Linked DNA regions of Astyanax mexicanus. The protein of the gene in region 1 purifies or fractionates together with the protein of each later gene. This does not show direct contact. Links are inferred from orthologs where the notes say so. Each region holds a gene or a part of one and is shown in the gene's direction. Other genes may lie near its edges. The genes, in order: rbm17 and calcium homeostasis endoplasmic reticulum protein.

The links.
Region 2: the proteins of rbm17 (region 1) and calcium homeostasis endoplasmic reticulum protein purify together in Homo sapiens (co-immunoprecipitation; 4 studies listed by BioGRID and IntAct, counting the BioPlex papers as one, with this or other methods). This does not show direct contact. The link is inferred for Astyanax mexicanus from reciprocal best matches to the Homo sapiens genes RBM17 and CHERP.

Annotation. Positions count from the first base shown.
Region 1 is NC_064409.1:20,771,788-20,788,366, forward strand, and holds the start of rbm17 (splicing factor 45), read left to right. Parts: upstream 1-10,159; 5' UTR 10,160-10,285; intron 10,286-11,682; 5' UTR 11,683-11,690; coding exon 11,691-11,813; intron 11,814-11,941; coding exon 11,942-12,052; intron 12,053-12,476; coding exon 12,477-12,640; intron 12,641-13,040; coding exon 13,041-13,150; intron 13,151-13,641; coding exon 13,642-13,692; intron 13,693-14,287; coding exon 14,288-14,414; intron 14,415-16,579. Other genes in the region: il15ra (interleukin-15 receptor subunit alpha), read right to left, coding at 6,844-6,997. UniProt on the Homo sapiens protein: Splice factor that binds to the single-stranded 3'AG at the exon/intron border and promotes its utilization in the second catalytic step. Involved in the regulation of alternative splicing and the utilization of cryptic splice sites.
Region 2 is NC_064423.1:27,374,804-27,391,271, forward strand, and holds the start of calcium homeostasis endoplasmic reticulum protein, read left to right. Parts: upstream 1-10,020; 5' UTR 10,021-10,158; coding exon 10,159-10,183; intron 10,184-11,538; coding exon 11,539-11,712; intron 11,713-12,066; coding exon 12,067-12,102; intron 12,103-12,847; coding exon 12,848-13,017; intron 13,018-14,114; coding exon 14,115-14,252; intron 14,253-14,347; coding exon 14,348-14,499; intron 14,500-14,590; coding exon 14,591-14,702; intron 14,703-14,977; coding exon 14,978-15,067; intron 15,068-15,353; coding exon 15,354-15,570; intron 15,571-16,342; coding exon 16,343-16,468. Other genes in the region: zinc finger protein 615, read right to left, coding at 5,952-6,568, 7,276-7,369, 7,976-8,037, 9,046-9,316. UniProt on the Homo sapiens protein: Involved in calcium homeostasis, growth and proliferation.

The DNA of each region.
Region 1 (16,579 bases):
AGGACTCCCCCTATCACTAGTGATGCCTCAACACTAGGAGGGTGAAGACTAGTACATGCCTCCTCCGATACAGATAAAGTCAGCTAGCTCCTCTTTTTGAACTGCTGCTGATGCAGCATGGCCCAGTAGCATCACAGTGCACTCTGAGGAAAGTGCAGCGACTCGATCTGATACATCAGCTCCCAGATGCCTCATATTGGAGTGAGAGAGCGCAATCTACACACCCAGAAAGAGCAAGGCCAATTGTGCTCTCTCAGGGCTCTGGATGGCAAGCTTAATGAACAGGATTCGAACCGCTATCAATTGAAATTTTAATAAAAAATCTGGTAAAATATCTAAATTAGCTTTATATTTGCATCTTATTTTTAAGGGTTTTAGGGAGACCTGGTATATTTTATCAATATAAGGCAGCCCTTCTCAGCTATTAATGTAAAAATATCTTAGAGTAACTGCACTCTTAAGGCATTTTTCATTAATAGCTGAAATGTGTTGCTCGATATTAATAAAATATACCAGTTCTGCCTAAACCCCTTAAAAATGCTAAAGCAAAGATGCAAATATAAAGAGAATTTAGATATTTTAATTAAAATTTTACTTAATAGCCTATAAATTATTTGTTTTAGGCTAATAAAAGTATATCAAACTATAAATAAATTGGTCAAGGGTTGTCAGAGATATACAGTATTATTATATATACAGATATACAGTCTCATATATATATATATAGTGTTAATTTAGATACTGAAATGATATGGTTTTGACCAAAAAATACATTCATCCAGCACTAACCTGTAGCATGAAAGCCAATTAATATTTAGTACACCAGTGCAAATAGTCTAGAGTCTGTAACTGCAAAAAAAAACAAAAAAAAAAAACAATATTGTGCAGCACTAATTATATGCATGCATAACTATGTCCACTTGCCCAAACTTACCCTTTCAGCTCTAAAGTTCTAGGACAGTTCAGCCTGTGGCTGTACATGGTAACGCTTTAATAATGTTATATTATTATTTTAGGTCAATATCACCCACCCCTATCCACTAGCACATCTCCCAATAGCTATTACCAAACACAAGAAGAAGCCACCTGAAAAGTCAATATGTCATTGAGTAACATGCTGAATATGTGCTAAGCAAACACAGCTGGTTTATATTGTCTAGCAGACTTAGTGATTCATGACCTAGAATTATTAACTGTGTCCATAAAAAAACAATTACCCGTGGTGCTCTGCATTTAGCTGGCTGCAGAACAAATTTCACAACACTGAGCTCAGATCCAGCCAATAAATATCAACCATTCCAAACTGGGGTTGAGCCTATATTCCCAAACTGACCTGACCTACATAAGGCACTCTCAGGGTAGGCCCATCGCAAACTCTTGAGCAGCAGATCCTTTCAGAATCAGAGAAAGAGTATTAATAATAATAATGCCTGGCTTACACTACACGATTAAAAAAATCTTAACTGATGTTAAATATGTGAGATATTCCACACAATAGGATCAGATGACAGAAAAGGTATTGCTATTCTTTCTTCTCAAAAATGATCCAAGAAATAGAAAGAGAGGGATATGGATAAAATTCATGGATAAAAGCGTCCACTAGAGGTGAATACATACAAACATACATACATAGCTATGTACACTGCAGACACTACAATACAATATAGCTAAAGTTTAACAAAAGTTTAAACACACCTTCTCTTTTTCAAGGAGTTTTTTTATTTTATTTTCATGACTATTTACATAGTAGATTCTCACTGAAGGCATCAAAACTATGAATGAACACATGTGGAGTTATGTATGTAACAAAAAAAAGGTGAAATAACAACAAAAAACTAAATTATATTCTAGTTTCTTCAAAACAGCCACCCTTTTCTCTGATTACTGCTTTGCACACTCTTGGCATCATTCTCTCAATGAGCTTCAAGAAGTAGTCACCTGAAATGGTTTTCCAACAGCCTTGAAGGAAGGAGTTCCCAGAGGTGTTTATTAGCACTTGTTGGCACCTTTGCCTTCACTCTGCGGTCCAACTCACCCCAAACCATCTGGATTGGGTTCAGGTCCGGTGACTGTGGAGGCCAGGTCATTTTTTGTGAAGTACATAAAACTCCACATTGTTCATTCATAGTTTTGATGCCGTCAGTGAGAATCTACAATGTAAACAGTCATGAAAATAAAGAAACCGCATTGAATGAAAAGGTGTTTCCAAACTTTTGGCCTGTACTGTATATATATACACACACACACACACACACACACACAATATATTGGCAAAGGTATTCCCTCAGCCATACAAATCACAGAACTCAGGTTTTAACTACTTCCATGGTCACAGGTGTAAAAAAACAAGTATGTAGGAAGCAGACTGCTTAAACAAACACTAGAGGTACACTACTAGACTTACACTATTAAATATTCCACAGTGAACTGTCAGCGCTATTATAACATAGGGGAAGTGACTGGGAACAAAAACAACTATGCAAAGGCCCATAGTGCACACAGGTCAACACATTTCTGCAGTCAATCAAGTGCTAAAAACTTCACATGGCCTTCAGATTAGTTTATGAACAGTAGAACACTGAAAACTTCATGGATTGGGTTTCCAAGGCTGTGCAGCTCCATACAGGTCATACATCTCCAAACACAATGCTGGCTGTGAATACTTTTGGCAAAATAGTGTAGTGTATTTTCCTACTCTTAAATGTAAAAATTTTAAAGTGTTGTTAATCTATTCTAATGAGGGCAGTTGTGTTGGTTTAACAGGTCTTCCTTTGTTTTGTCTGTGGATCATTATTTTGGGCTCCAGTTTTTTTCCTGTGTTCCTTCTTTTTTATCTAAGCAAAACACTACAGGAAGCCACTTCTCTTTGCCATTAAAAATATTTGTGTATGTGAGGAACCACCAGACAGTGTACCTTTTCAGTAAAAGCTGCAGGGTAGAAGCGATTCAACAGTGTTGAATTAGAATGTTGTTCCTTATACAAATATGCAGATCCCAAATTCCTGTGTGGCTTCATGGTTAATTAGTAATTGCACCACACTAAACGAAGTGTATATATGCAGTCGTGTGAAAACTCTTCATGATTCCTATTTTTTAAGTAATTCAAATATTTGTAAAAGATAATACAAGTAAACCAAAAAAATGTTGACTTTTAATTTGTTTTTTAAGTTTTTATTATTAAGGAATAAAAAAAATCCAAAACTACATGGCACTGTGTGAAAAGTGTTTGCCCCTTAAAACTAACTAAAACTAAAATTGGTTGGTCCACCCTTAGCAGCAACAACTGCATTTGCAGTAATGTGCAATGCGTCTTTTAGAGCACTGTGGAAGAATGTTGGCCCACTCATCTTTACAGAAAATAGAATTTAACCACATTGGAGGGTTTTCGAGTATGAACCGCATTTTAAGGTCATGCCACATCATCTCAATAGGATTCAGGTCAGGACTTTGATTAGGCCACTCCAAAGTATTTGCTTTGTTTTTTCTTTAGCCATCCAGAGGTGGTGTGTCCTGCTGGTGTGTTTTAGATCATTGTCCTGCTGCAGAACCCAAGCTTATTTTAGCTTGAGGTGACAAACAGAGGGACGGACATTCTGCTTCATTATTTTTTGGTAGGGGGTGGAATTTATTGTTTCATTCATCACAGCAAGTCTGCCAGGTCTTGAAGCAGCAAAGCAGCCCCAGACCATCACACTACCACCATCATGTTTTACTGTTTTGTATGATGTTCTTTTTCTAAAATGCACTAGATGTAATGCAACCTTCCAAGAAGTTCAACTTTTTTGTTTTGTCAGTCCACAGAGTATTTTCCCAATATTCTTGTGAATCATCAAGATGTTTCCTGGCACAATTAAGACAAGCCTTGATGTTTTTCGGCTAAGTTATTTTGATCTTGGCATTCTGACATGCAGGCCATTTTTGCCTAGTCTCTTTCTTATGATGGAGTCATTAATGTTGACCTTAACTGAGGCAAGTGAGGCCTGCAGTTCTGTGCATGTTGTTGGAGTTTTTTTGTGACCTCTTGGTTGCAGTGCTCTTGGGGTAACTGAAACTGCAAAAACTAGAGAAATTGCATTTTGTGTTTACTTGTTTTGTCTTTGACTAATATTTAAATTTATTTAATGATCTGAAACATTTATAAGGGGGCAAACATGCAAAAAAAAAAAAAGAAAATCATGAAGGGGCAAACACTTAAATTGTATGCAAATGATGTAAAACTATATATTTTTTCCTTGTTAAGTTAAAAGGCCCATATTATATCTCTTTTTACACAACCTAGAATAGCTCTATGGGGTCTCCATATGTTTTTTTTATATACATTTGCATATGCTTTCTTATAGTGTGCAGAATAATATCAGTTTCAGTTTCAAATAATTGAAACAGCTCACCAAAACCTCAACCTATCCTTTGTATTTGACAATATTTGATTAACTTTACAGGTCCCCACTCACCTGAATTTATTTAACTAAACTGAGTTTAGTTGATATTATTTTTAGCCTCGCGCCGAATTCAGCTCCGCGCTGCGGGAGGGAGGGAGGGAGGGTAGAGAGAGAGAAAGCGCAGCACAGCGAGGCATGGCGCATTTTGCCTGATTTCTCTTGATTAAATATCAATAAATATGTGAATTTAATACCTCTTAATACCATATATTTTACATCACTTGATAGGACCTTATTTATTAAAATGTTTTTTTTTTCTTTTATCGCAATGCCGCGCGGGCATTCCTTATGACTGACGCTAAACTGTTTGATCCAGCTGTTATATTATATTATGTTATATTAATACCATTTTAACATTTTTCGTTTCTATGTTTTGAAATTCGTTAGATTATATTTTGGTCAACATTTTGGGTTTATTTTCGTTTGTTATTTTTCTAATAATAATAGAAATTAAATAATTTATTTTATTTTGTACATTTTTTAAGGGGCGAGTAACAAAATTATGTGCATGTTTCTGAAAAAAAAAAAAAATTGGGCGTGGCCGATGATATAGTCCATCGGCACAACCCTATTGCATAGTAACAAACCTTTTCGCTTTTGGTATTATGGGATAGTGTTTGAAAAATTTTGAGTGAAAAAGAAATTGAATTCATTTTGTGTATGGGATTAGTGTGGGGTGTGTATTGTCTTTGTTTGTGTTGTCACTATTGTAAGTTGCTTTGGACAAAAGCGTATGCCAAATGTAACGTAATGTAATGTTTGCATTATTTATATGTTGTGTCATAATTTGATATTTTTATTTTAAGAAAAACATAGACGCTCTAAACTCCCTGAAACTCTTGCCCCAGTTCGACTTACTAAAGTCTCACACTCCATGCTTGTTTATTGTTTCTTCTGAAATCAAGGGTATTAAAATAGTATTTATACTGTTTTTGTAGGAGTAACAATCTCTACTGTCCAGGGTAAAAGGCTTTCTGCTAGATTTTTATTCAACGCATTGCTGTTAGGATTATATTGCAATTTCTGACAAGAGCAAAAATGAGTGAGCTCAGGATGTTAAAGGATCACCACCCCACCTACATTCCCAAGTCCTCTTAAAAGCATTGGAAGAAGCCCCATCATTCCACAGAACAGTTCCACTGCTCCACAGCTTCAATATCTTAAATAGCTTCATCTACCAAGCCATATATAGGAATAAACAGAGATTAAATATTACCAGAATAGCCAAAGGACGTTGAATCAGTGCAGTAAAACAGCGCAGATCTCCGACGTCAGAGTAGATTTATTTGTGCACATTGATTTTACTGTTATTCAACACTGATTCAAATGTCATGGTTTTATATGTATGGTTTGTATTAAACTTTACTTACATGAAATACATACATGTTGTTTTTCCATCATCAACATTAAAAGATGTAATGCATCCAACAAATAACATTTAATATTCTCTGCTATCAGGGGAATGTAGGAGAGCCAAAACCACTCAAACCATTTAAATAAACGTTGATTCAATGTCAGATTGCAAAACTAACCAGTGAATATTAGGCCATGTTAAATAAAGTTGTTTTCCCCTCATCAACACTAGAAGATACAATAACTCAATGCAACTTAAAATGATGTTTAAATCAATGTTCTTTGCTACCACAAGAGTGTAGAAGAGCCTCACTAAAATCCCTAAAAACCTTTTAATAAAAGTTTATTCAATGGCATAATTTGAACACTAACTGGAGCCTATTAGGAAATGCTAATAAATGTGCTTTTTTCCCCCCCCATCACCATCAAGAAAATATGTAATACATCTAAATAATAAAGTTTATTTATGTTCTTTGCTATCATCAGAGTGTAGAAGAGCTCAGCCCAACCACTTAAAACCTTTAAATGAACGTTGATTCAATGTCAGACTTGCAAAACTAACCAGTGAATATTAGGCCATGTTAAATAAAGTTGTTTTCCCCTCATCAACACTAGGAGATACATGAACTCAATGCAACTTAAAATGATGTTTAATCAATGTTCTTTGCTACAACAAGAGTGTAGAAGAGCCCCACTAAAATCCCTAAAAACCTTTTAATAAAAGTTTATTCAATGGCATAATCTAAACACTAACTGGTGCCTATTAGGAAATGCTAAATGTGCCCCACCATCAATACAAGGTGTAATACATCCAAATAATAAAGGTTATTTATGTTCTTTGCTATCACCAGAGTGTAGAAGAGCTCAGCCCAACCACTTTAAACCTTTAAATGAACGTTGATTCAATGTCATATTCGCAACACAAACTAATGAATATATTAGGTAATGTTAAACAAAGGTTGGATAAGAGTTGTTTTTCAATCAACAACATTCAAAGTTGTAATGCAAAAAAAAACGTTTATTTAATGTTCTTGGCTATCAGGGTACTCACCGTTTACCCCGAAGATGTGGAGGGGGTACTCAGCCGCGGTGAAGATGAAGGTGAGGAGGAGGAGAGATGATGCCCGCATGTCCAGAAATACCAACACTGGGTCTGCCTGCCGGTGATTTACACATATTTTAGGAAATACACAGACTCCAGTCATCTGAAGCACGGCCTGTGACTACGACAGCTTCCTTTCCGTTCAGCAAAATAACATAAGTAGCCCGGTTTCACTTTCACTTAAACACACACACACACACACACACACACACACACACACACACACACACACTGCGCACACAAACACTGAGCACACACCGCAGAGCGTCCCAACACTTCGCGTGGGCTGGGGGTATAAATAACGCCGTGGGTCACAGTGGATCAGGGTAGCATATGGCGGTGCTGTACCGAGCTGTGTTCCTCAGGCAAAATTATATTTTCCACAGAGCTCCTTCAGTCCAGACCGGAGACGTCCCAGTCACTGATCCACCAACATCAGCGGGAAAGAGTAAAGTACACTATACACTGTACTTGTAACTTGTAACACTGTACTTGTACACTAACCTGCTGCTGGAGGTTACTTCACCATATGACTTCTCCACTGAACTAAGCTCCGCCCACTGGGGCTTCAACCCAATAACCAACCAACGCCACGCTAGTTTATATATATATATATATATATATATATATATATATATATATATATATATATATATATATATATATATATATATATTTAAATATCCTTACATGTTCAGAAAGTGCGGTTTGTGCATGTAGCAAATATACTGAATTTATACATAAACCTTGTGTAACAATATGTTAAAAATAAAATTGCTTTTAACAAAAACTTATAAACTTGTAAACTTTGATCTCATTTACCAATATATTTGAGATTTTTTGTGTTAGCATGACTCCCTTTCAATTATGGCTACTACCATTAGCATTACTACCACAGTGTTAGCATTACTACCACGCTTTTATCATCGCTAGCATCACTACCACAATGGGCACTATTTGCTGCGTAAAAAAAAAAAAATAATAATAATAATAATATACGTATATATATATATATATATATATATATATATATATATATATATATATATATATATATATATATATATATTATTTTTTTTTTATTTTTTTATTATTATATATATATTATATATATATATATATATATATATATATATATATGTATATATATATTCGTATATATACATTACATTTAATGTTATTTTAATTTTCTTCCCCGGATGCAAAATTATAAAAATTGAGAATAAAGTAAAGGTTGTCTTTTTTCGTTTTCCAAAAAAAAAAAAAAAGATTATTATTATTATTATTATTATTATTATTATTATTATAAATAATATTTGTCGTAAAAAGCACTGTTCGAAATCATCCAAAGGTCCAGGACACTTGTTGACATGCTTATCTCTGTTAATAGGTAAAAGGTTTCAGGCACTCTGCCTGAATTGTTTCACTTTTATTTTCATTATACTACTTGTTTATTTTTTAAACCCTGCCTGGCGGCTCTGTTCTTCTCGGTAATAGAGTGATTTACTGTATATCAGATGGGAGGGTGAGCTAGGCGTGACAGACCTTTATTGTTTCGGTTTGAGCCTCTACCACAGACATTCCCTGCTATCAATAAAGAAAAGGTTTTAAAAAATGTTATTGACATTGCTAATATTGTAAAGATTTGATTTATTATATTGTTATTTTCTGAATTTATATGGACAAACGTGTATGTCATCTAAACTAATCATTACAATTTATACTGTGTTTTTGAAAATCATTCGAGCATTGCCAAATAAACTATTGTAATACTTTATTATATAAGTATTTCCTTACACCCCTATTTGGTAGCCAAAATATTTCAATACACTAACAAAAAAGATCAAATCAAGTATGCGTATTCATGATATGCATCTATTTATGTTATGTATTAACATAGTCTAAGTTTAAATTTTACAAAAAAAAAGACATTTTGCCATTTCAAAAGGGGGCGTTTCTGTAGAACGACCCTTTTACATTGACTTTTATTTAAAGTTAGAAAGATTTCTCTACAGCTATATGACCCCATATTACCCGGATTGTTTAGGACAGGGCTATTAGAGGGATTTGGTAGCAATGGCTCCACCTTGTGATCGTCTTTAAAACACAAGCTCTGCTTAATTCTGCTTAAATCTACTTAAAATGACAGTACTTTTGGACTATTTAGCATATGTTATAAGACTTCAGACTACACAGAAATTATTATTGTCCTGCTTGATCACTTAATATTTTCATTTTTTGTCCTTTTATGGATGTGTCCATCTTGTTATGGCAAGCTGTACTATAGAGTGGACAATTACAGGGTGGAACATTTTAATGATTTTTTGACATTGTGTTTATGGGCTTATTATGGAGTAACATCTGGCTGTTATATTGCGTTCTTTAGAAACACAAGCCTCATATTAATAAACTACACAGAGATATATAGTAAATTCACAGCATCCAGCAGACTGTGCGGTTTAATGCCAATTTGGTCTGACTGACTAAAATTGACTGAAGGAAAGGCTGTTTTCTTACAGGTGGACAAAACCTGTGCTAAGACTTTTCTGCCCAGAGTTGTTGGGAAATCTGACTTATTATGGTTCCATCACCTGGCACAGACAGATAATAAGTCATTATTCTGACATAAGTCGTTATTTTGAGATAATAATTATTTTGACATTCTAAGGGGTTATTTAAAGATTATTTTTGCTGACTTAATATCTCAAAACAATGATTTAGCATTTTAAAATAATGACTTAGTTTCTTAAAATAATGGCTTAGTATTTTAGTTTTTTGCACAGTTAAAATAAATTTAAAAATCTGGATTTCACCTGGCAGTGTCTATACAGTATCCTTGTGGCAAACCTTCACTCCATAACTGTTCAAGTCTACACTACCACACCACACATAGTATCTTAATGACTTAGTATCTCAAAATAATGACTTTGTATCTTAAAATAATGGCACAGCATCGCAAAATAATGACATAGTGTCTCAAAATAATGATGTAGTTTCTTAAAATAATGACATTATCCCAAAATAATGACTAAGTATCTCAAAATAATGACTTAGTATCTTAGAACAATGACTTAGTATCTCAAATTAATGACTTATTATATCAAAATAATGTCTTAGTATCTCAGAGTAATGAGATAATATCTCAGAATAATGAGATATCAGTTTATAGTAGTAATGCTAGGTGCTGGGTTTGTGGTTGTGATAGGTGGGAGTGTGGACTGTGTTGTTGGATGATGCTGAGCTTCTGTGATTCTCACACTAGAGGGCAGCACTTCGTTTGGCCACTTTTGATGACGTCATTAGAAGCGACGAGGAGACGGCGCGTTAGCATGCTGTGCTAAATGTGGTGGAATATTGAGGTTTCTCGCTCCCGTTTGGAATTTAATCACAGGTATTTACTAAAAGATGGTCTAAAGTGCTTTTTAAACCATCAATACTATCAGTGCGTGGTAGGGTATTTTAGCTGTGGTCACAGTTAGCGCTGGGGCTGGCGTGGGAAATGGTAGCTAGCCAACCTGGCTAATGAAGCTTAGCCTGTGTTTTGTGTGTGCTTTTTGTGTTTAGAGACATTTCAGGCACATTTTATTTTTTGTTACATAGCATATGATCAGTTGAGATCATTTTAAGCTGTATAACACCTCAAACCTCTGCTAAAACCAGCCTGAATGTGTTTAGAAGACAAATAGCCAAACTGCATCGTTTTGTTGGGTCTATTCTGTGCACCAGTACTGTGGTTTTACAGTGGAGTTGGTGCACAAACTGATAACTGCATCGAATTCTATTTTCTGGATGCCTAAACTATGTGAATGTGCTTTAGAATTAACTTTGGTCTAATTTTAAGAGAGTAAAAAAATAACAAAATCGTCCAACCAAAATAAACCATTAACAACACACTGTTGTACAGTAGAGTAGCATACAATCAACTGTATCAGTGCCAAACTAATACCATTACATATATGGAATATTTCTGTCTGTCTGTCTCACTCTCTTCAAGTCTCTCTCTCTCTCTCTCTCTCTCTCTGTTTGTCTGTGTCTGTCTCTCTTTCTCTCTCCCTTTCTGTCTCTGTCTCTCCTTCTGCTTCTTTGTGTTTTTGCTCTCTCTCTCTCTCTCTCTCTCTCTCTCTCTCTCTCTCTCTCTCTCTCTCAGTCTCTCTTTGTCTCTCTGTGTGTCTCTCTATCTCTCTGTCTCGTTATTTCTCTGTCTGTTTCTTTCTCTGTCTGTCTCTGTGTCTCTTTCTATCTCTCTCTGTCTCTCTGTGTGCCTGTCTCTGTGTCTCTTTCTCTGTCTTTCTGTCTGTGTGTCTCTCTCTCTTTCTTTCTCTTTCTCTGATATTACAGCACTGATTAATTAGTATATACCGGTATACCTTCATCCACCTCAAAGCTTATCAGTTTCCTTAAAAATAGATTTCTGCTGGGATTTTCTTGTCAGCAGGACAAGAAGAGAAGTGTGTGCAAATTTAATAAGCACCAGAACAGGCTTTTTGTTACACACAGCTTCAGCATAAACTACAAGTACTCAGACATTAACTTTTATTTAAAAAATATGAACCTTTTAACAACTGTAGTGATCATTAACCAGTTTTGGTAATAACCAATTTTCCAAATCACTATTGGCAAAGCAGACAAGAACCAGTGCTTCCCTAATAAAAAAACAAGTTAATGAGTTCTTGTTCTTGTTTCATGAGTTATATCTGCAGGTAATGAAAGTAATGCAAACTGTTGATGTGTGGAAAATAAAATGAAACAAGTGTAACATTCTCTACATTCATTGTGTTGTGTGATCAGGTGAACCAATGTCTCTTTACGATGATTTGGGGGTCGCTACCAGTGACGCCAAGACTGAAGGATGGTCGAAGAACTTCAAACTGCTTCAGTCGCAGCTGAAAGTGAAAAAAGCTGCTCTGACACAAGCAAAGGTTTGCATTCTGTTTTTATAACATTAAACTGCAGATGTTCTGTGTTGTCTGTATTATGTAGTACCATTATATCTTTACTTAAACCTGAAATTGGCCTGGAAATAGATCTTTGTTTTCCCCCTTCGCAGACGCAGAGGATGAGACAATCCACTGTTTTGGCTCCAGTTGTTGATCTCAAGAGAGGAAGTGACGAGCGGCAGATTCCAGACACACCCCCACATGTAGCAGCAGGGCTGAAGGTGAGTGAAGAAAGCTGGAACAGTGTTCTCTGTATTGATGGAGGTCTGTCCAATACTTTTAGATGAGATAAGTTAGGGATTAAAATAATAATAATAATAATAATAAGAAGAAAATTATTGTAGAAATAATGTAGAATTTTTTTTCAAGATACTGAAGTAAATGCTATTTAGTATATGCATAAATATTGCAAAAATACAGAATATACTCTTAATGTTTCCCAAAAAATAATTATAGTATTTACATGATATAGAATTTAAAATCACAATGTTACTGCCACAATATATTGGGCATGGTATGGTATGGCTCACCACTATTATACAGTATGATACATTCTTTTGCAAATCTTAAGGCATTATAAGAACTGTTTAGTTGGGTAGCTTCTTTATAGCAGCTATTTTAAGTTTATATTTTTGTGTGTGACAGGACGTACCAGGTGGCTTTTCTGCAGGTGATGTCCTAATCCCGCTCCCGGATGAGTATGATCCCATGTTCCCAAATGACTATGAGAAAGTGGTGAAAAGACACAGGGAGGAACGTCAGAGGCAGAGGGAACAGGAGCGGCAGAAGGAGATCGAAGAGAGAGAGAAGTATGCACATTCCACACGTACCCTGTCTGTACACCAATGCCCTGCTGGTCCTGTTCACCTGGGTTTAGTTTTTTTTTTTTTTATGCTTTTTCAATAGACAGTGTGATTTGGTGTATTTATGATATGTTTGAGAAATTTATGAGTATTTTACCTCTTCAGTAACGCAGATGCCGTGAGGTGTTCAAGAGAATTGTCTTGTGATATATCAGATATCACGGAACCACAGTATTGGGATATCATTGTTATTGTGGTAATTGTAATTGTTTCGTGTGATGGCCTGAAATTCCTACTCCTATTACTATATTAGCCACTCTTTAAAGCCTCTTTAAAGAAATATTGTGCTGGTCATTTCGTACTGCCTGGTTTGAGTTTCAGTTGCCTCTCTTGTTTGTCGAAATAGGAAGCGAAAGGAGCGTCATGAAGGATCGGCCCCCAGTGGTTTCTCACGTTTCCCCACAGAGGCAGATTCAGATGAGGATGAGGAGTATGAGAAAGAGAAGAGGAAGAGGAGTGGGTGTCTTCTCAAACTATAACAAATTTTTTTTTTTCCTGTTCCTTTTATTTTCCCCCTGTTTTTAACATATTTTACATTGAAGTGCCACATATCATGGGACCAGAACTAGTATTGTGTTCTACCATTCACAAGTTTGGACACACCTTTTCATGGAGTTTCTGGAGGTGCTGAACAATAGCTGCTGCTTTTCGTTCCAGCTCATCCCAAATCACCATCTCAGTTAATCGGGTTTAGATCAGCGGATTGTGGAGGACGAACACTTTTTTTTTTTTACTGTTTATTACATAATGTATAATGTGTTCTTTTATTGTTTTCATGCCTTTAATGTTATTCCACAATGTAGAAAATATTTAAATAAGGAAGTAAAAAAAACAATAATGAGAAGGTGTGTCCAAACTATTGATTGATTCTGTATATAAGTGCTGAAATGATAACTTGATGCAAAATGATCTGTACATCTTTCTGACTCTTTTTGTTTGACACATAGGTATGGGTGGTGCTGCTATTGCCCCTCCAACGTCTTTAGTGGAAAGGGACAGTAAGTACATATTTTTATTCATGTATGTTTTTTCTTTTAATTTTGCCATACTGATTTGTTTTTGTCTATTAAAATTCAAAATTACATTCTAGCGCCGTCTAACTGGGTGTACACTGTATCTAACATCACCTACTCTTTCCAGTTCAGTCGCCATACATTTACATTTACAGTTGTGGCGCTAATCAAATGAATAGGGTAAACCTGCAGTGAGGAAAAGTAGTTTCTGTGAAACTGACACCAATAAATCCATGATTCCTGGTATTTGCTTATTTACGAGTATTTTATCTTCTTCAGTAACACAAGTGCCATAAAATATTGTAGAGATTCTTTGCATAATTGTGTTTTTTTCACATTCTTACAGTTTAATTGTATAATACTTTTGTGAAACAAACTACTGTACAACTTTTGAAGTGCTGTTAACAGTTTAACAATTATTTTATTTGAATTTCCCATTACCTCTGTAGTTTCCTGTAGACCACGTAGTTCAGGCTTGTCTCCACTATGCTGTGCTGATGTATCATTTGAATTTAACTGCATTTGAATGATGGTTTGGATAGTTTGGTCATGTTTGGTGTTTCCTGTGTTTTAACTCCAGCATCCTACTCATATGATGAGGAGGGTCGTCAGAGATCTAAAGCAGCAATCCCGCCCCCTGTTTATGACGACTCAGAGAGACCCCGCTCTCCGCCAGGACCCACCAGCTCCTTCCTGGCTAACATGGGGTGAGTGTGAATACAGAACACTGTTAATTCAGCTTATTTATTGTAGTATTTTTTTTATTTTATACATCACAAGCAGTTTTAGAGGTACATGTAAGGAATTGATGACCAAAAGAATCATTTAAAAACTAATTGCAGTGTTATTTCCATTTTAAAGTGATACAAATGGGATGAAGAATAAGTGATGGGATTATTTTATGTACCAAAACCCACCATAATTCATTTTGTACGACGACAGATTATTATGTCCATCTCAGGATGCAACAAATTAAAAGTTTTGGATAAAAGATTTGGCTGAATTGCAAATATGTTTCTTGCTGATTTAAATTTTTTAGGTTGCCATGTTTTCAGCATTACATTACATTAATTTAACATATTTTTTGTCCTGATTTAAACCACAATTTAAAAATATTTATTTAATACCTAACCTTTTTAACTTCATCAAATGTTCTTAAGTTTTTTTTTTTTTTAATTAAAAAAAATTCTGGTCACTGAATATTCTGTGCATATCTATATTAATCAGACTTTATTTTATAGAAATTATAAAATGATGCAGTTAAATAAGCTTTGCTGTCATTAAGGCTACAGCTAATGACTGTTTTAGTAGTCGACTAATCTGATAAATAATTTTTTATGGAGGCTTCCATCCAATGCATGATTTACTGAATCTTAACAGCTTAACCTTTTAGGGCCCTAGATAGATTATGCAGCACATTGGAATAGTTGACATAGCAATATAAAATTACAAAGCGTATTATAGGAGACACTCCCACATGCAGAAGGTTATTTTCAGAAAATTCTACTTTAAAGTATTTAATTGAGAAGGCACTATATGTGGGATTTAACTCTGAGAATATGATTCAATGTACAATGAGCTGATATACAGTGAGTATAGGTGTTGTCTTATCTGGTGTCTTTAGACATTTTTAGAGACCTGGAGTAGGAGACACATGTTTGAGCCCATTAACCTTCCCACGAGGTGTAGTCCACACCATCACGCATTAATGATGTGTCGACAACGAAATTCTGTGCCATCAAATTTTTAAAGTCAATGTTCTCAGTTATGTCGAGTACTCGTTGCAGCCCTACTGTCATTGGTTGCACTGTATTGTGCCCGATTTAAAACATGGTTTGAGTTAAAATTGTTTTTTATAACTTCAAATGAATGGACGTTGTGCTAAGCTACTGTATGCACATAGTCAGATATATGTACTTTTGTTTGCTTTTATAATTGTGTGTTTGTGTGTGTGTGCTTCTCTTAAAAGTCCACTGGAAAATCTTAAGGTTTTGCAAACTTCAAATCAGACTTTAACTTGTATGACATGTTAGAATATTTTCCAAGGTGAAAATTCACTCAGGTATAATATAACCTGAAATTATTTTTACGGGTTGTTTTTTATAGAACTCTGAGGTACCCCTCCTTGCCATCCCGTGTAAAATAAATCTTGTCTGAGTGGTACCCTCTTCTCTATATTTGAATTAAGTGTGCGGACTAGGGGTTTCATATTGTATAGTATGCAACAATATTGCATAGTAAATGTGCGATTAAAAACACTTATAATACATTGCTTTTACTTTTTTTGTTACACTTTTGTTACTCTATTGTTATTTTAGACAAAATCAGAATCTTGTTTAGGTTTTTTTTGTCTACCAACGCATTTTCTATTGTATTGCAGTAGAATATTCCTGAAAAAAAAATCACCTTATCATACCACCATATTGTTATCGCACAAATACCCTGAAATATAGTGATATGGGCCATATCACCCTCATCTAGTACTGAAGAATATTTGTTTTGCCCTTTAAAATGTGAGAAAATAAGCATGCCTGCTTGATGGTATCCATAACAATGTTTTTTTTATTATTACTAAATTATTATTATTATTATTGTTATTATTATAATTTCCGTTGTTGTTGTTGTCAAGCCACATCACATTTACTCACATCAGTGCTTCCTTGTTACATATTACAGACTGCGCTTTTTATACGTGATGCAGATGGATTCTGAGATGATTCTTTAGTCAGTGAGGGTCAGGGCAACATCTTATGCTTGACCTTTTTGGTGTAACTGTGGGTATTTTCCAACAAGGAACATTGATATGATTGTTAATGGGCACATTGTATGATGTCATGTCAGGTAAAAACCAGTGGTAATCATCTGTGTGTAA
Region 2 (16,468 bases), on another chromosome or scaffold:
GAAGCAGCATTCTTGTACTGCGGGTGAACTTTTCTACGGCGAGGGGAGGAAGTATTAATGATTGTGGCGGGAGGGGAGGGTGCTCATCAGGCTTAATGATGGAGAAAATCCCCCAATTAGAGCCTTTTCCTGCAGGCCAGGATGAGTTCAGTGCGGGGATTAGGGCTCAGGCCGGGACCCAGCAGCCACTGTCCACTGGACACATTGGCATGAAGGCCAGGCTGAGGCCGAGGGTAGGCATGCGTTCAGCTGCACTGGCACAAAGGAACCATGGGAAAAGAGCAGCCCATCTACTGCAAAATGAGCTTTTGTTGGAACTGATGGCTGAAACTGTGCAATCTGATTTCTTTTTTTCTTTTTATTCAACCAGTTAGGCTGATGTGTTTATGAATAGGCTTCATACATCCAGAGATGTCCGACTGACATATGCTTTTGTGTTTTTGTTTAAATGTCTTATTGAAGATCCACCAGTATTGTATACTGTACTAGTGAGTCTAAGTTTTTAAAATAACAATCTTTTGCTGATAATACAGATACATTTCTGATATTTTGACCAGTGTGATTCACTGCACAATGAGCTTTGCTATCCAAAACCACCAGTGAAACTACACATTACATCACTGGAACTAAATTGTAATACCTTTTTGTAATGCAGCTTTAAGAGACATCAAACTATTAGGCGTCTGGTTCCTTTCACATCTACTGTGAACTACCACTGAAAGATCTTGTATATATCATAGTCATTAAACTATGCAGCAATGTTGATAAATTATTGGATTTTTCCTTTTTTTATACTGACCAGACATTAATCATGCAATCAACTAACGTTTAATATATTTTCTTAATTTTATTTGTCATACAACTTTGCAATTTAAACACATGCACAATCCTAGATAGATAGTTAATTACTAAGACGAAGCTGGATGATCACAAGCCATCAAACCAAGCTGAACTTTTTGAATTTTTGCACCAGCAGTGGCATAATGTTATCCAAAAGCAGTGTGTAAGACTGGTGGAGGAGAACATGCCAAGATGCATGAAAACTGTGATTAAAAACCAGGGTTATTCCACCAAATATTATATACCTATAATTGGCAAAATCAGAGAAACTGATTCAGAAACTGAAGTGGTCTCTTAATTTTTTCCAGAGCTGTATATATTATTTAAAAGGTTACTGATGTTGAAATTCTATTTGGATAAAAATAAAAAACAAAAGATCAGCGCATAACTTATCAAAAACACCTCCAAATTAAGACCATGATTATGTCTTATCCATCTACCCAACGTGCCTGGTCATGAACAATACCTTTAAAATGTCTTGCAGATGTCTTCAGTCACACATCTGGCAGCCTGAGGCAGTACACAAACCTCAGGCTAATCCTTGACCTCGGTTAGTAAGAAGATTGTCGCTGAGCTGAGCATGGTATTGTCCTCTCGTGGTACTCTTGTGCTACTTCTGAAGCAGAAGTGTATCAGTGTGCTTCAGGACAGCCATACACTTTGCAGACCCACAGAATCGAATTTACTGCAGGTAACTTTTACAGTTATAAAAATGATTATACTGTGAGTTCTGTGAGTATTCTCAGTTTTTAGAAAATCAAATGTTGACCTGAAGGATATATATCCCAGGATCTCCCAGCACTGGGCCATGGAGGCATGTATTCTCTGGACTGGTGGAGCTCCATCCGTTAACTATAGAACAGCTGAGTAAGAGTAGCAGATCTGATCATCCAACATCAGTACCTGACCTCACTGATGCTCTTGTGAGACTAGACACTGAGACTGTCTTCCTCATAGCAATGTTCCATGATCTGCTGTAAAGATATGACAGAGGAAAAGATGCTGTTACTATGGTAAAATAAGACAAAATTCTTATTATTACCCTCAATTTTAAAAGAACTGCTAAAATAGGTATTTACAAAACATTTGGTCATATTTTATGCACTAAAACATACAATATAAAAACTTTACACTGACATGCCAAAAGTCATGGGACAGCAGAATGTAATTTGATTCTGATGTGTTGGGAAAAGCTTGGAAACCTGAATGGGATTGAACACTGTCCACTGTTGCCAGATGAATGGGATCGATTACAATATTTCCAAAACTGTTTAGGGATTTAACATTCCTCTTGATCCACAGTGTCATGTGTGTACAAGGAATATGTCATGTTGTAAGAGGCATTACCACCAATGGTGGACAGTGCAGTGGGTGGCAATGATCATGGCCAGTGGTGTCTGGCTAGGAATGTCCATGTGTGCCAGAAATCACATCTGCATTCAGTACAGCAGGCCCCACACACATCCCACAGGTTTAGAGCATCCCTTAGTTTTTTTTAGTGGGACATGGCAAAAGTCATGGGACACAATACTACTTCCTGTCGTATGACATTTGGCACATCAATATATTGTGGGGTGAAGGGCTAAATCATAATTTAAAAAGTCTAAGGAACCTTTACTTGATGCTCATGCCTTCTTACTTATTTAAAGCTTCTTCACACTTTTACATCTCTTAATGGAATCTAGATTGGTTCTATGGCATTGTTTTAAAGACTGTGAAGCGCACTTATTGTTAATAGTATGAGATGGAACATACTCTGCTGATGGAACTCTACAGAAGGCCTAAGTAACAGGCCCAACAGCAAGAGATACTCATTTCACTTTTTTAGTTTTTATTTGTTTCCAAATGATCCACGCTCTCCTTCTCTACACCACAGCTGGTGATGAACAGAAACTACCGTGGCGTAGCTGGGAAAAATCCCTGCTGTCTGATCATGGAGATTAGTAGAGCGAAAATTGAGGAGGGGTGGTGGTGGTAATAGTTTACTTCATGAGTCACTCTTGAATCCCCCACAGACTGCTTGTATTCATTAAGAACAATTACATCTCTAACGACTAATTAATTGCGTAATCTATTATTTGGCTCCGTTCTTTGTGGCCTCCGATGGGGCCCAGGCTGGAGTTAACAGGCTGATTGGGATGATGCGTTCCGCAGGGCGGATAATAAGGGAAAGGAGCGGAATTAATTGGGTTTGATTAAGAGAGCTTTTCAATGGGACAGAGCTCTTTCGCATGACATAAGTGGAGGTCAGCGAAGGAGAGGGTGGTGGAGGTGCTGGATTTGTGGGCTGGCGCCAGTTTTTTTTTTTGTGCCCGCATTTTTTTTGCCTTCTCTTGTAAACAGCAGACCTAGATTATATTAAAATGACCACATCTTCAAGATCCAGCATCAGCTAAATTAAAGGGCCACCATCCTGAATTTATTTCATTATTTAACCAGAAGGGTGCACTAATGATGAAGTTTTACAGGCCTATTTAATTGTTAGAAACTGTAAAATTAGCATTCTGATCCTAATGAAAATGTTTGGCTGAAACCAAACAAAATTAAACATTTGCCCAAATGCAGAATACCCAACACAGGTTGCAGGTTTGCATTACTTTGCCACATTTATCAGACTTGGATAAATTAAATAGTTAAATGTATTTTTTGTTTTGCAGATGTACCTCCTTTAACACTCAGGAGAACAATCAAAAAGTGCCTCACTCCATGCTAGTTGAGATTAATCACATTAAAAAAGTCATCATTTTGTATAAATTATTTGGTCTTTTCACTTATCAATAGGTTGGATAATGGTAGGAATGTCCTGAATATTCAGCAACTAATTTGTTCAGGAAAAAAGTACTAATAAAAAAGTACTAATAGACTAATAAATTCAATCTGCCCTGTGTTTCTTTAAAAATCAACCACTTTAAAACTCACCTTATAACATTATGCTTTGGCTGTAGGCCAAAAGGGCAGATCTATGTAAATAAGCTTTCAGTTGTTTTCATTTTATTGTCACCCTCCTAAAATAGTCAAGAAATAATAGCCTTTTTTCCTACATCATTTCCTCATGATGCTGATCACCTGTGGTAACCTACATCCTTACTTGATCAAACCATTTCATTCTGCACTTTTAGGATTAATGGCCTATGTATGTAATGCGTATAACTAACTAAATAAAAAATAAATCAAAATAAATTGTGACTTCACCAAAATAATTTTCACAACTCAGGGCTCGTTTAAAAATTAGAGATGAGATTTTTACTATAATATAAAGTTTACTTCTTATTAATAAAGGCTATAGGCTATAAATATTGCATAGTTGTTCAGTCTTATTATTGTGTTTTTTAGTCTGGATTTTTATTACATAAAGCTATCTTGAAATGCTCTACAGTTTCTGGCTGTTAAAATGTAAAACATTTGAATTAGGATTATTTCTGATTGGGCAAAAATTAACGAAGCAATTATTTTAAGAAGGTGCTGATCCACAGACTGTGTATCACATGTGAGTTTTACATTTTAAATTTAAATTTTAAAGCATGATGTGGGCCCTATAACTAAAAACACAAATGTATTTATGAATATATGTATATATACCTATATAACATACAGTACAATGTCCAAAAACTGCAGGCTAACATAAGAGGAAACTGCAGAATATCCCACAAGAATCAAACTGTAGATACAGTACAGTCAGTGAATGCAGCTGATCAGTGCAGGTGTGTTTATAATCTAGTTATACAGTAATCTGCAGGGAACAACACTGACCATCCACACACTCCCACCACCACCTAACACTAAAAATAGAAATACACTCTTACCTTTTATAAACTACAAGCCAGCAGGTATAACAAGATTACACCGGCTAAATCATTCACAAATATGAGGATCTGGAGGAGGGAAACCTGTTTGTGTTCTCTTCTCCTTTTTGATCCATACTGAGGAAGACAGCTGGTTTCCAAACCAGGGTTTTAGCTCCATCTAGAGGAGCAGACAGATAAACAAGTATCTCTGATCCACTACCCCCCCTTTTCATCTTAGCATCTGCGTTTATCCATCAGTTAATGCTTAAGCAAATTTTGTTTAATGGTACTTTGACATGGTACAGACATTCCAATCAATTTCCAAATGCAAACAAATACAAAAAAGTACAATTAGTATTTAAAAATATTCCTCTTGATTTGATATGCTATTGTTTTTAATACCATAGAATATCCACTTTTGGGTCCATTAAGAACACACTAAGCCCCCCCCCCCCCCCCCACCTCCCCAAAGTAAATGGTGAGAGAACTCACTGTATTATAAATTCACAACAGTTCATTTTTAAAAAAAGTTTTTATGCAGGTTCATGGAAAATATGTATTACAGATGCAACAAACATAAAATATATTTCAATATTTCACTTTTTATCACACTTACATTTGCATCTACTTGGCATAAAAAATAGATTTATCACATCTTCCTGTTACTGATAATAGTATTCTTGAATCAGATATTTTTATATATCCAGCATGGAAAGCGTCCCTTTGGGGCAAGTTGTAATACCATTTCTGCCACGCAGATGTTTAACAAATTCAATTCATTTAAATTTTATTTATAAAGCGTTTTTGTTTTTTTTTACAACAAATGTCATCAAACGAACAGTTCATGCTTGTTTTAGATTATGGTAAAATGAAGAAGCGTATTAGTAATTCCTGTTATTCAGTGACAATAGTTATATAACAATATAAACCAAAAATACCAAAATACATACTGGGAACCAGCAAAATCTGAACAGTAAGAATCAAATTTAACTTGCCTTGAAATTTAATCACCACTTTCAAAAATGTTTTGGATTCTCAGTTTTCACAACCAAGATACACAAGCCAGAAACATATTACATATCATTTACACATCTTTCTGCAGCAGAATTAGATTTGTATAGAAAACACTGAGATTCCAAAAACCTGGAATTGTAATGTAGACTCAGAAGTCATTCGATGAAGTTCATAAGAGCATTTTCAATCAACAGAGTAAGCACTGATTTGGAGAAGACATTGGACTTGTCTCATTTACCCTCACCAAGTCCCCCTTACCAGCTTCAAGTATGTAAGTTAGCATGCTCTCACTGTGTGATTAATACTCCAGTCCTAACCCATCACCTTGTGTATGGCTTTATGTCTGCGTAGAGCACTTGGGTCAGCAAATGACTTTGGGCAGAAGTTGCAGGCATACGGTTTCACCCCTCTGTGGATATTCTGGTGGAAATTCAGGGTTGCTTTTCGAGTGAAACTCTTCCCACACTGAAAGCATGTGTAGGGCCTCAGATCAGAATGTGTTTTAATGTGAACTCTCAGTCTTTTTTCTGACATCACTCTTTTTCCACAGATAGGACAAACACTCTTACATTGTGCCTGCCTATCATTATTGTGGGGAACAGCAGCAGTCACAGTTCCATCAATCTGTATGAAGGAACACTGTAAATCTCGTGTCCGTGGCAAAGACATTGGGTCATGCTGCAGCTGGTCTTTGTCTCTTTCCTCATCTTCCTCGTCTCTAGAAGACTGGGCATATGGTACATAATGAGTGTTTAGGTCCTCTATGTCTTCCTGCCCCTCCAGAGATAAAGAATTCTCCTCTTCTTCCTCCTCAAAGTCTTTAATGCTGCAGTCGTTCCAGTTGAGATGTGATCCGGATGCAGCGTTGTGCTTTAATTCAGTCTTGAGTTCAGGACTGAGGTCTGAAAGTTGATCGTTTATTTCTGCATCTGTAGAACAATAAAAGAAACACTTTACTGGAAATAAACATACTGAATATGTTTACTAGTACATTCTTAGCTGGTTCTTAATCCAAGACGTGACTATCAGTGCTTTAGCCTGTGAGGACATACCTCTAAGTCTCAAACACTGCCTGTGAGACTCACATATTATTGCCAAAATTCACAGCCTCACACCAAAAACTTCAAACATCAGTGTGTGGTTTTTAATTCAAATGAACAGACAAACTAGAGGGCAAAAGTGGCAGCATTTGTTCTAAAACATTAATATAGTATCTAGCAAATATACATCTATTAAAAATTCCCAAAAGAACAACCTTCTAACGTTGAGCAGGTCCCACTTGTGCAACCTTAACAGCACTGACCTATAGAAACATGGACTCCATAAGACCATTGAAGGTGATCTGTGATATCTGGCACCAAGACGTTAGCAGCAGATCCTTTAAGTCTTGAAAGCTGTGAGGTGGGGCCTCCCTAGGTTACATCAATGAGTCTTAGACACTCATGACCCTGATACTACTTTGGTTCACCAGTGGTCTTTCTTAGGAGCATTTTTTGGTTGGTACTGACAACTGCACACCAGGAACACCCCACAATCTGATGCCTGATGTTTTGGTGATGTTGTTTTTGTTATCAGATAATTCATGTTTTTAATCTTATGGCTTATTAGTGCATGTTTTTTTAATAAATGCCCTTACCATCATCCATGCTATCTTGCATGCACTGGTTTGTAACATACATCTCAGTCACCTCCACTTTAACTCCTGCTGATACAGCTCTCCGCTTCTGCAGCTTCAAAAACAAACAAATAAATGCAATATTTATTTAGTCACTGTTCTACTCAAGTGCTTACTGTATAAAACCATAAACATAAATGTACTCTTTTTAAACAAGAAAGTTATTAAATGTACGGTTTCATTTACTTTGTGATATTGCATGTCCTGCAATATGTTTATTTTGCATATGCACAATGCGTAAACATATACTGTGCAGTCCGAATTCATAATACTGTAAGAAAAAAAAAAAGAAAACTTATTCTTTAGGATTTACCAATATTTTACAAAACTAAGCATTACATATAAATATTTTTGCATTCCACACATGAAGTCCCCTGAATCCAATTACCACCACCACCACCGCAAACAAATCAGAGTCAGGCGTTTCTCAAAAAACAACCACAACTTTACACCTAAACCGACTCTGAATGTCAGTACACCTTAAATGAAAACTGCATAAAACATGTGCCTTATTATTCAGTAAGTGCACAAATCATTCACAACCTGCCCTGAAACAACATCATATAGACCAGTGTTTCCCAACCACTGACTTGGACCTGATTCGTATTGTGCCTACAAGCCCAGGGTTAAAACACACTGAAAGAGACCTTTAAAATCTTACCCGCTGACTACTTTTGACTGCTCCTGTATTAGTCTCCATATTGTTTGTCTTCTGTTTAGAATCTGAAAAGAGAAAAAGTCACGTTTGAGCTTTCCCCTTGAAAAGTTCAATTCTAAGAAGCAAAAGTATACATATTATGTAATTACATATACATATGTATTTAGAGATGTAGGCATCCCTCAATTGAATAAATTAGCATTCTCAATTACCTAATAGGGCTGTGTACTGGCAATACGATATTTATCATAATATCATAGTATCATAATATATGGGTAATCAAAAATTTTTTCTCTATGTATTTCTGTATGAATGTCATAACATGAAAAGCACATAATCAACTGCATAAAGTCAGATTATAAGAAAAGTTTTTTTTGCAATCAGAATATTGGGATCTTGAGGTGTGGCTGGGGGTTTAAAAACAACACTAAATAAACCATTCTCTGCCACGCATCTTTACATCTTAAACGATTTATAAAACAAATATCAGTAGTGCAAAACATAGCTGATATTGCAATACATACATACCTAACATTTAAAAAATGAAAACAACCTTTAAAAAATAAAATGTGCATGTACTGGAAAACAAGTATTTTTGTCTGTTTAAAGGCATATTTTGTTTTTATGTACATATTAAATATATTTTTCCCATTTGATGCCTCAAGACAACGATCTAAATTATTATGTTAGATCATTCTTTGCACATTTTTGTACTGATCTATCAACAAGGACAAGCTCCTCAAAATAGAAGTGAAACGGTTACTTCTTCATAAACAGTCCTGCTATAGAGGGTTACACTTAACAGAGGAAACAATTAACAATTACACTGAATAGAGGGCACAGATTTTTAAATCAAGGAAAAAGATTCATTTAATACATTAGGGGGATTATTTTGTTTTAGGGGGAATGGTTTGTCTTTTTAAAATTATATTTCTACATATATACATTTGGAAACGATGTGAAATACCGATAAATCACTATATATACACTGAAACACATTGTATTCCTAATTAAGCTGCAGCAGAGAAAAGTAAGAGAAGAACAGAGGCTGATTTCAGTCCTGCAGCACTGACCGTGTGATTTTCCAGCCACATCCTCTTCCGTTCTACAGTTTTTCTCTCTAGTTTTTAGCGGAGCCGCTTCTATCGGTTCTGAAATGTTCGGTTCTGATAGAAAACTCTGGAGCTGCCGCCTCAGCTCGTCGTTTTCAGACGTGCATCTCTCTATTTCCCTCTGTAGAGATGAGAAGACGCTGTCAGCCAGAGCGCAGATATCCACCGCCGCTGTTTTAAGCAGCATGTCCAGAATAGCGGTGAGCTGAACGTGGAAATATGTTTCTGCCATCGCGGTAAAATCTGCTGAAACCGGTCACTTCTGAACTCCGCTGAACTCGAGTCTAATCCTCCCGGTTCTCTTTGTTTTTGCTCTTTGAAAAATAATGGAGCAAGTCGCCACCAACTGGCGTGAGCGGAAGAGCCGGAGATCAGCGCGGTTTCCTCTTCAACTTAAAGGCTCATTACAGTCAGCTCGATCAGGGGGTTTCATACAGAGTCTGTCTTAAATTAAGATTAAATATACACTCATAATTAAAATAATGTTATTTTATAAATATTATATGTAAAGCAAAATAATAATAATAATCTGTAAATTATGCTCAGTGATATTTCCCAAAATTGCTTATATATATTTTTATATATATATATATATATATATATATATATATATATTTATTTTTACATTTTTACAAGGATGTTACACATTTGAGAGTGGACACTGTAGTAAGCTAATTTGAGTGAACTGGCTATATACATAAATTATAAAGAAGACTGATAAATCAAGAGAACAGCTTATTAAATCTCTACAATCAATTCAATCAATAAATATAATTTTGTACTCCTATTCCTCTGTTTTTATATTTAACAAAATCCATATTTCTTCATTCTCACTCCCCAGGGTTAATGTATACAGTATATTTTCACTGAACATAATGTAACTTTTAAAATATCCCAATTAAGTCGGGCATGTATTTTGAAATTCAGTCTAACGCGGCCGGAAATCAACTCGGCTCCTGGCGATGGTTTCACAGTGCAGAAAAATTATCTTTCCCTGAGCCGAGCTCTTTAAAGAGCTTTAATATCTCCATACTGAGCTGTAACTCACCGGATAAAGGTCTGGGTTTGATCATTATGGATATCCCAACTCCCCCAGAAGGTGAGATATGAGCAGTAGATCAACTGAGCTTAGCTAACAGCTACCCCGGTTAGCTATAGCCCAGGCTCTGAATGGCTCATGCTGCGGGTTAGCCGATTAGCCACTGTTCACTAAAGAAGAGCCCAGTTGTTTATAACGCGTTAATGGAGCGGTTTCAGGTTACATGTGTAACTGTGTATCAAAACGGCGTGCTTTACCTTCTTTCAGTTAGTCGTAGCTTCTGTTCGTATCTGAGGAGAGTGCACAGGATTAGATAGAGCTAAGCTAAGCTAGCTAATTGAGAGAAACACCATGGCCACTGCTCTTCTGATTAACTTAAACAACCAATGTTACAGAGCCCAGCTTAAGCTATGTATTCTCTCTTTCAGCCAAGAATTATGTATTTCTATCAGGTTATCTGTTGAATCAGAGTTGGTCAGTAAACCCTGGAATCAGTAATAAATGTATTCAGATGTAAACGTATACTTCTGTTCCTTTGCTGGTTGTGCTGTGTGTATCCAGTGCCTGAGAAAGCTAACAATTATTACTCTTTTCTTCACTATATTAATATTAATGACTCATAGCACTTGTTTTCAGAAATTAGACTTTCTGTCTAAACACATACTTTCAAACAAAAGTATAGTTTATTTGTTAACATAATAATGACAGGTAATACAAGTACCTTCCCAAAACAAATTCAGTAGAAGTAAATAGCTAAATACCTTAAGTGTGAATGTACTTGAGTAAATTCAAACGTACATCTGTTAAACATAAATCTGGCAAGTATATCTCTTCAAGACATTTGCCAGTCTTTCTTATTGTGCAATGTTTGTCTAAAATAAATGTTTAACATTACTCATAATGCTGCCAACATAACATAAATTAATAAAAAAATCACCCTTGTCATGAATATACTTGAGTAGAAGTAAAAGTCTAACATTTAAACCATTTAAAAATTCTAATTAATAAAATTGCCCGTATTGTATGTTGATATTTTACTGTATCCTGATACATATTCTTCTTCTATATACATACATAACCATATCACCCAGCAGCATCAGTACATGATTACAGTCACCACAAGCGGATGCTATACTATTCATATCAACTGAAATTAAGAAAAATATTTTGATATTAGTTTTGGACATATTGTTCAGCCCTAAGTACATGTAACAGATTTGTTACTACTCACGGTGATGCTGAACAATAAGTGCTTGTTTCCTAGACAAGAATTAAGTCTATCCAAAAGTAAAAGGAAGCTTTCTTAGCATGTACATTTTGACTCAGTAAACATTCAGTGATCATGGTAATAATTCACATATATAATGTGATTTCTGTCAACATTTTTTTGTGGTGTTTTGTTTTTGTTGTTCCAGATCAAGAGCTTCGCAATGTCATTGACAAGCTGGCGCAGTTTGTGGCCCGCAATGGGCCTGAGTTTGAAAAGATGACCATGGAGAAGCAGAAGGACAATCCGAAATTCTCCTTTCTCTTCGGAGGAGATTACTTTGGATACTACAAGTACAAGCTTGCAATTGAGCAACAGCAGCGTATGTACACTGAAACAGTTCTAACTGCTAGTGCAGCTTTGGGGAACTGGGGGGCAGAGTTTTGCACAGTTTGCTGATTGACTTGGCAATGAACTGATTAGTTAAATTGGTTATAAACTGTGCAGGAAACTGGCCCTCCAGGGCCATAAAGGGTTGTTAAATTAGTGTGTGTATTAGAAACTGAACTGAACTTGTTTGCTTACTAACCTAGCATTTAATGATGTAGCTTCAGAATTAAATGCTTAAAGAAATGTAAAATTCATATAGATTTATCCAGTCAAGTTTTCCCCCCAATGTGCAGGAATGTGCAAATATGCTTTGTTTTGTATCTAAGTCATCCTTTTTTCCTCATAGATCCAACCACTCACGATGATGAATATAAAATGGAAGGTATTTACTAGATTGACAATTGGACGCAATCTATATTTACTGTATAATATTCACACTTTGCCTGGTGTCATTGAGTATTTTTGCATCATCAGTGCTTAATGCCTTTTTCTCTTTATTTTATATTGAGCTTTGTCAGGCGTTTTGTCTTATGTTTTGTACAAGGTTGTGGGAAGGGAGCTTCAGTTGCTTGTGATGATAAAAAAAAAACAGCCTGCCCAGTAAATTCATTAGCATACAAACCCAAAACTGACTAAATAAAATGTTGGACAGATTTGTTTAGGCTCAGAATGGAAACATCTCATTGTTCTTTCCTTAGTTACTTGCTTGTTGTGTTATAATTTTTTTTTTTTTAATTCAGTTTGGTTGTATGACTTCAGTGTAGCCTCATACGTTCCACAGCTCAGTTCCCTCTTAAACAGTTTGTTCTAGTTTTTCATGGGCATTATTAAACACTGAAAAACAGGGCAAACAAAACCAGCATGTGTGAGTACGGTTGCATGCATGCTGTTAATAATATCTCAACTGGATGGCTTTGCTTTGAGAATGCCCATTAAACAAAGTCATTTACTCCTTACAGTTGTTCTTTCTAGTTTTTGATTTTGGATGTTGCCTCTGGTTGTTTCATGATGATGTGTATCTGTTTTTTTTCGAGTTTTTAAAAAATATATATTCTATCTTTTTGTGTTTGTTTGTTAAACTAATGAACTTAGTAGTTAGTACCATTAAAGAATAACTGTGCTTTCAGTTGCAGTGCATTGCAAACCACCTGGTAAAGAAGTCCCAGATGTTCCTCCACCAATGTCCTTGCTTCCACCTCCACCTATCCCCCCCAGTACACCTTCAGTGGAGGAGCTCATTCAGCAGAGCCAGTGGAACCTCCAGCAGCAGGAGCAGCACCTGAACAGCCTCAGACAGGTAACTCCTCCTACATTTTATCTGTTTTATTGGTCAGTTCAAACATACAGGTTGGGTTTATTGTAATTACTGTAATTACAGGCTGTAGTTCTTCTTCTTTATTATCGTCCTTTCATTCTGTCCTTCAATGGTGGGTCATTCATTCTCAGCACTGCAGTGACACTGGCATGGTGGTAGTATAATTAAATGGATCAAAGACAGCAGTGCTGCTGGAGTTTTTAGACACTCAACATCCACTCTATTAGACAGAAGCTCCTCTGTTGCACAGTTTGTGTTTTCATTCTCTAGTCCTTAATCAGCGGTCACAGGATGCTGCTCACAGGATGCTGCTCACAGGATGCTGCCCACAGGATGCTGCCCACAGGATGCTGCCCACAGGATGCTGCCCACAGGATGCTGCCCACAGGATGCTGCCCACAGGATGCTGCCCACAGGATTCTGCCCACAGGACACTGTTGGTGGATTACTCTAGTCCAGTAGTGTCACTGAAATGTTTTACAACTCTATCAACACCACTGTGTCAACATGCACAACACTCCACCATGCCAGTGTTACTGCAGTGCTGTGAATAATACACACCCCAAATAATAGCTGCTCTAAGGTGGTCCTGACTATTAAAAACAGCGGAATTATAAAGTTTACAGAGAAACACAGAAACTAGAGTCTGTGATTATAGATCAACAAACTGCCACTAATGCTCAGTGAATAATATTTCTTGTAGAAACAAGGAAATGGTCATAATGTTCTGCATATAATGTTAATAGAATTGGAATAACACAATTTATACTAATTCTAATCAAATGTAATGTGATTTGATGAAGTATGCACTAATTTTTACAAAACATAAAGGAAAAAGTATATGTTTAATACAATCTTCCCATAAAACATAAGAAATCGTATGTAAAAACATGTATTGTTACTGTTTATACTGTGATAGTCCTACAGTCACATTTATGTATTCAGAAAAAAAAAAATCTTTCTTTAAGCATTGCATTCCTCTAATTAAATGGGACTAAAAAAAAAGCAAGTTCTGCACAAATAAGTATAGAAGTCTGGAAGGTTCACATTCTGGACCACCTTTTTCTCTTTATCTGTAGGAGCAAGTAACTGCAGCTATTGGTTTGGCCATGGAGCAGCAGACTCAGAAACTGCTGGTGGAGACGCAGCTGGACATGACTGAGTTTGACGGCCTCCTCCAGCCAATCATCGACACCTGCACCAAGGATGCCATTTCGGTGAGCAGCAAATAGACCTCACTGTAGAAAGACTTGCTTGCCTTCAGCACCGTAACGTTTAATCTGAGAGATTCGCTGCTGTTCTCTTTTTTTAGGCTGGAAAGAACTGGATGTTCAACAACGCTAAATCCCCACAGCACTGCGAGCTGATGACCTCACACCTGCGCAACCGCATTACAGCAGAAACGGCACATTTCGAGCTCCGCCTACATCTCATCTATCTCATGAATGACGTCCTACACCACTGGTACACCACAGGACTTGGACATAAAAATGTAGTGGCATTGTTGTAGTGTATTCTAATCGTAGTATTGACTTGCGTTGTTATGGTTCCACAGCCAAAGGAAGAATCAGAGGGATCTGCTGGCCGCCCTGCAGAAGGTTGTGGTGCCTATCTATTGCACCAGCTTCCTGGCTGTGGAGGAAGACAAGCAGCAGAAAATCACACGGGTATGTTTGTTGAGCGACCCAAAGTATAAGCACATAGTTTATTAAAGGCATGCAAAATGTGTTAGCTGTATGTATATGCATCAGTCTGCCAGTGACTGTTAACAGAACGGAATCAATTTTGTTTACTAAAATAATACTCAAAAAAATGTAAAAAAAAATAAATAAAAATAAATAAATAAATAAAAAATAAAATACTTTTTCTAACATACAACATCTAACAGATATTAAAACAAGATATTTGTTATTTAAACATAATCTCTTTGTACTATTTCTAGTTGCTCCAGCTGTGGGAAAAGAACGGTTACTTTGATGATGTCACCATTCAGCAGCTCCAGAGTCCTGCGCTAGGCCTTGGACAGTATCAGGTACTGCAATCAGCAAAACTTACTGTACTAAAACTTATATTAGCCATATTACACAGTAATATGTAGCAGTAATGTTAGCAATTATTTGCAGTAATATTTTTGTTATGCATATATATATGTATGTGGGTTCATTTTATTTGTCATTTTATACTTGACTTGTAACCAAAAGCTACAAAGCTTGGAATCCATTTTTAATACCAGAGAATCATCACATATTTTTTATCCATGTGTATTAATGGTACCTAATTAACTAATTCTATATTTGTAACTAATCTGCAATCTCTAGGCGTCTCTAATCACGGAATATGCTGGAGTGGTGCAGCCCGTGCAGCTGGCCTTCCAGCAGCAGATCCAGGCTCTGAAGACACAGCACGAGGAGTTTGTGACCAACCTGAAGCAGCAGCAGAGCGTCGCTGCAGCAGCTGCAGCTGCTGCCGTCAGCCAGCTAGCTCCACCAGAGGCTGACGTTAAAGTGGCTCAGCCGCCAATGGCCCCTCAGTCTGGTGAGTAGATGCTGTTATATTTTACACAGTGATCAGCCATAATATTAAAACCACTGATCGGTGGTTAGTTGAATTATACTGATTATCTTATTACAACAACACCTGGTGAATAAAGTGGTGGGTTATACATAGGAGATTGCATTGGTAGAGTTCGTTAAGACCACAGCTTACAATTTTGTAAGTATTGTGGTAGGCCCCTGGGGTTAGGGGCGTGACCACTGTGACCCGGAAGGAGGAAGCACACAGGTAACACAGACACGGGGAGTAAATGAACTCAAACGTTCCTTTATTTAGGCTTTGAAATGCCCTCCACCACACCCAAAAACAAACTTAAATCATACTACTAGCCCAATGGGGCTCTAGAGTCTGTAGAATTGAACTTAATTCTCTGTTAGAGTCCGTGCAGCCTCAGCCCTCAGCTCCCCAGTGGAAGTCCTCTCAAATGAGGGCCGAGGCTGAGTATATATGCCTGTCCCAGCTGGCGGCTCAATCAGCCCTCATGCGGGCCAGCTGAGACAGGCATGGCTTTGCGCTCTGGCGTGGGGCAGACCCACAACTCCCCCGCCTCCTCACGCCACAGTATAAACAGCTCATATCTCAATAACAGATTTCACAGGACACCTTAAACGGTCTTGTGAAGTCCATACCTCAATGGTTTATGGCTGATCAGTTTATGTATTTAAAAAATAAATAAAAATAAATTAGTTAACTCTTTAGCTTATAAAACCAGAACGTAACCTGTAACTTCTGTGTCTCATTTTATTATTAACAGATGTAAAGCCTCCTATGGCTGGCCCTTCACCAGGTGACTATGATGGCGCTCCGACGAGACCAACAGACTCTAATTCATCCGCACCCCCGGACAAGCCTGGCTGGTTTGACCCTCAGCACAACATGC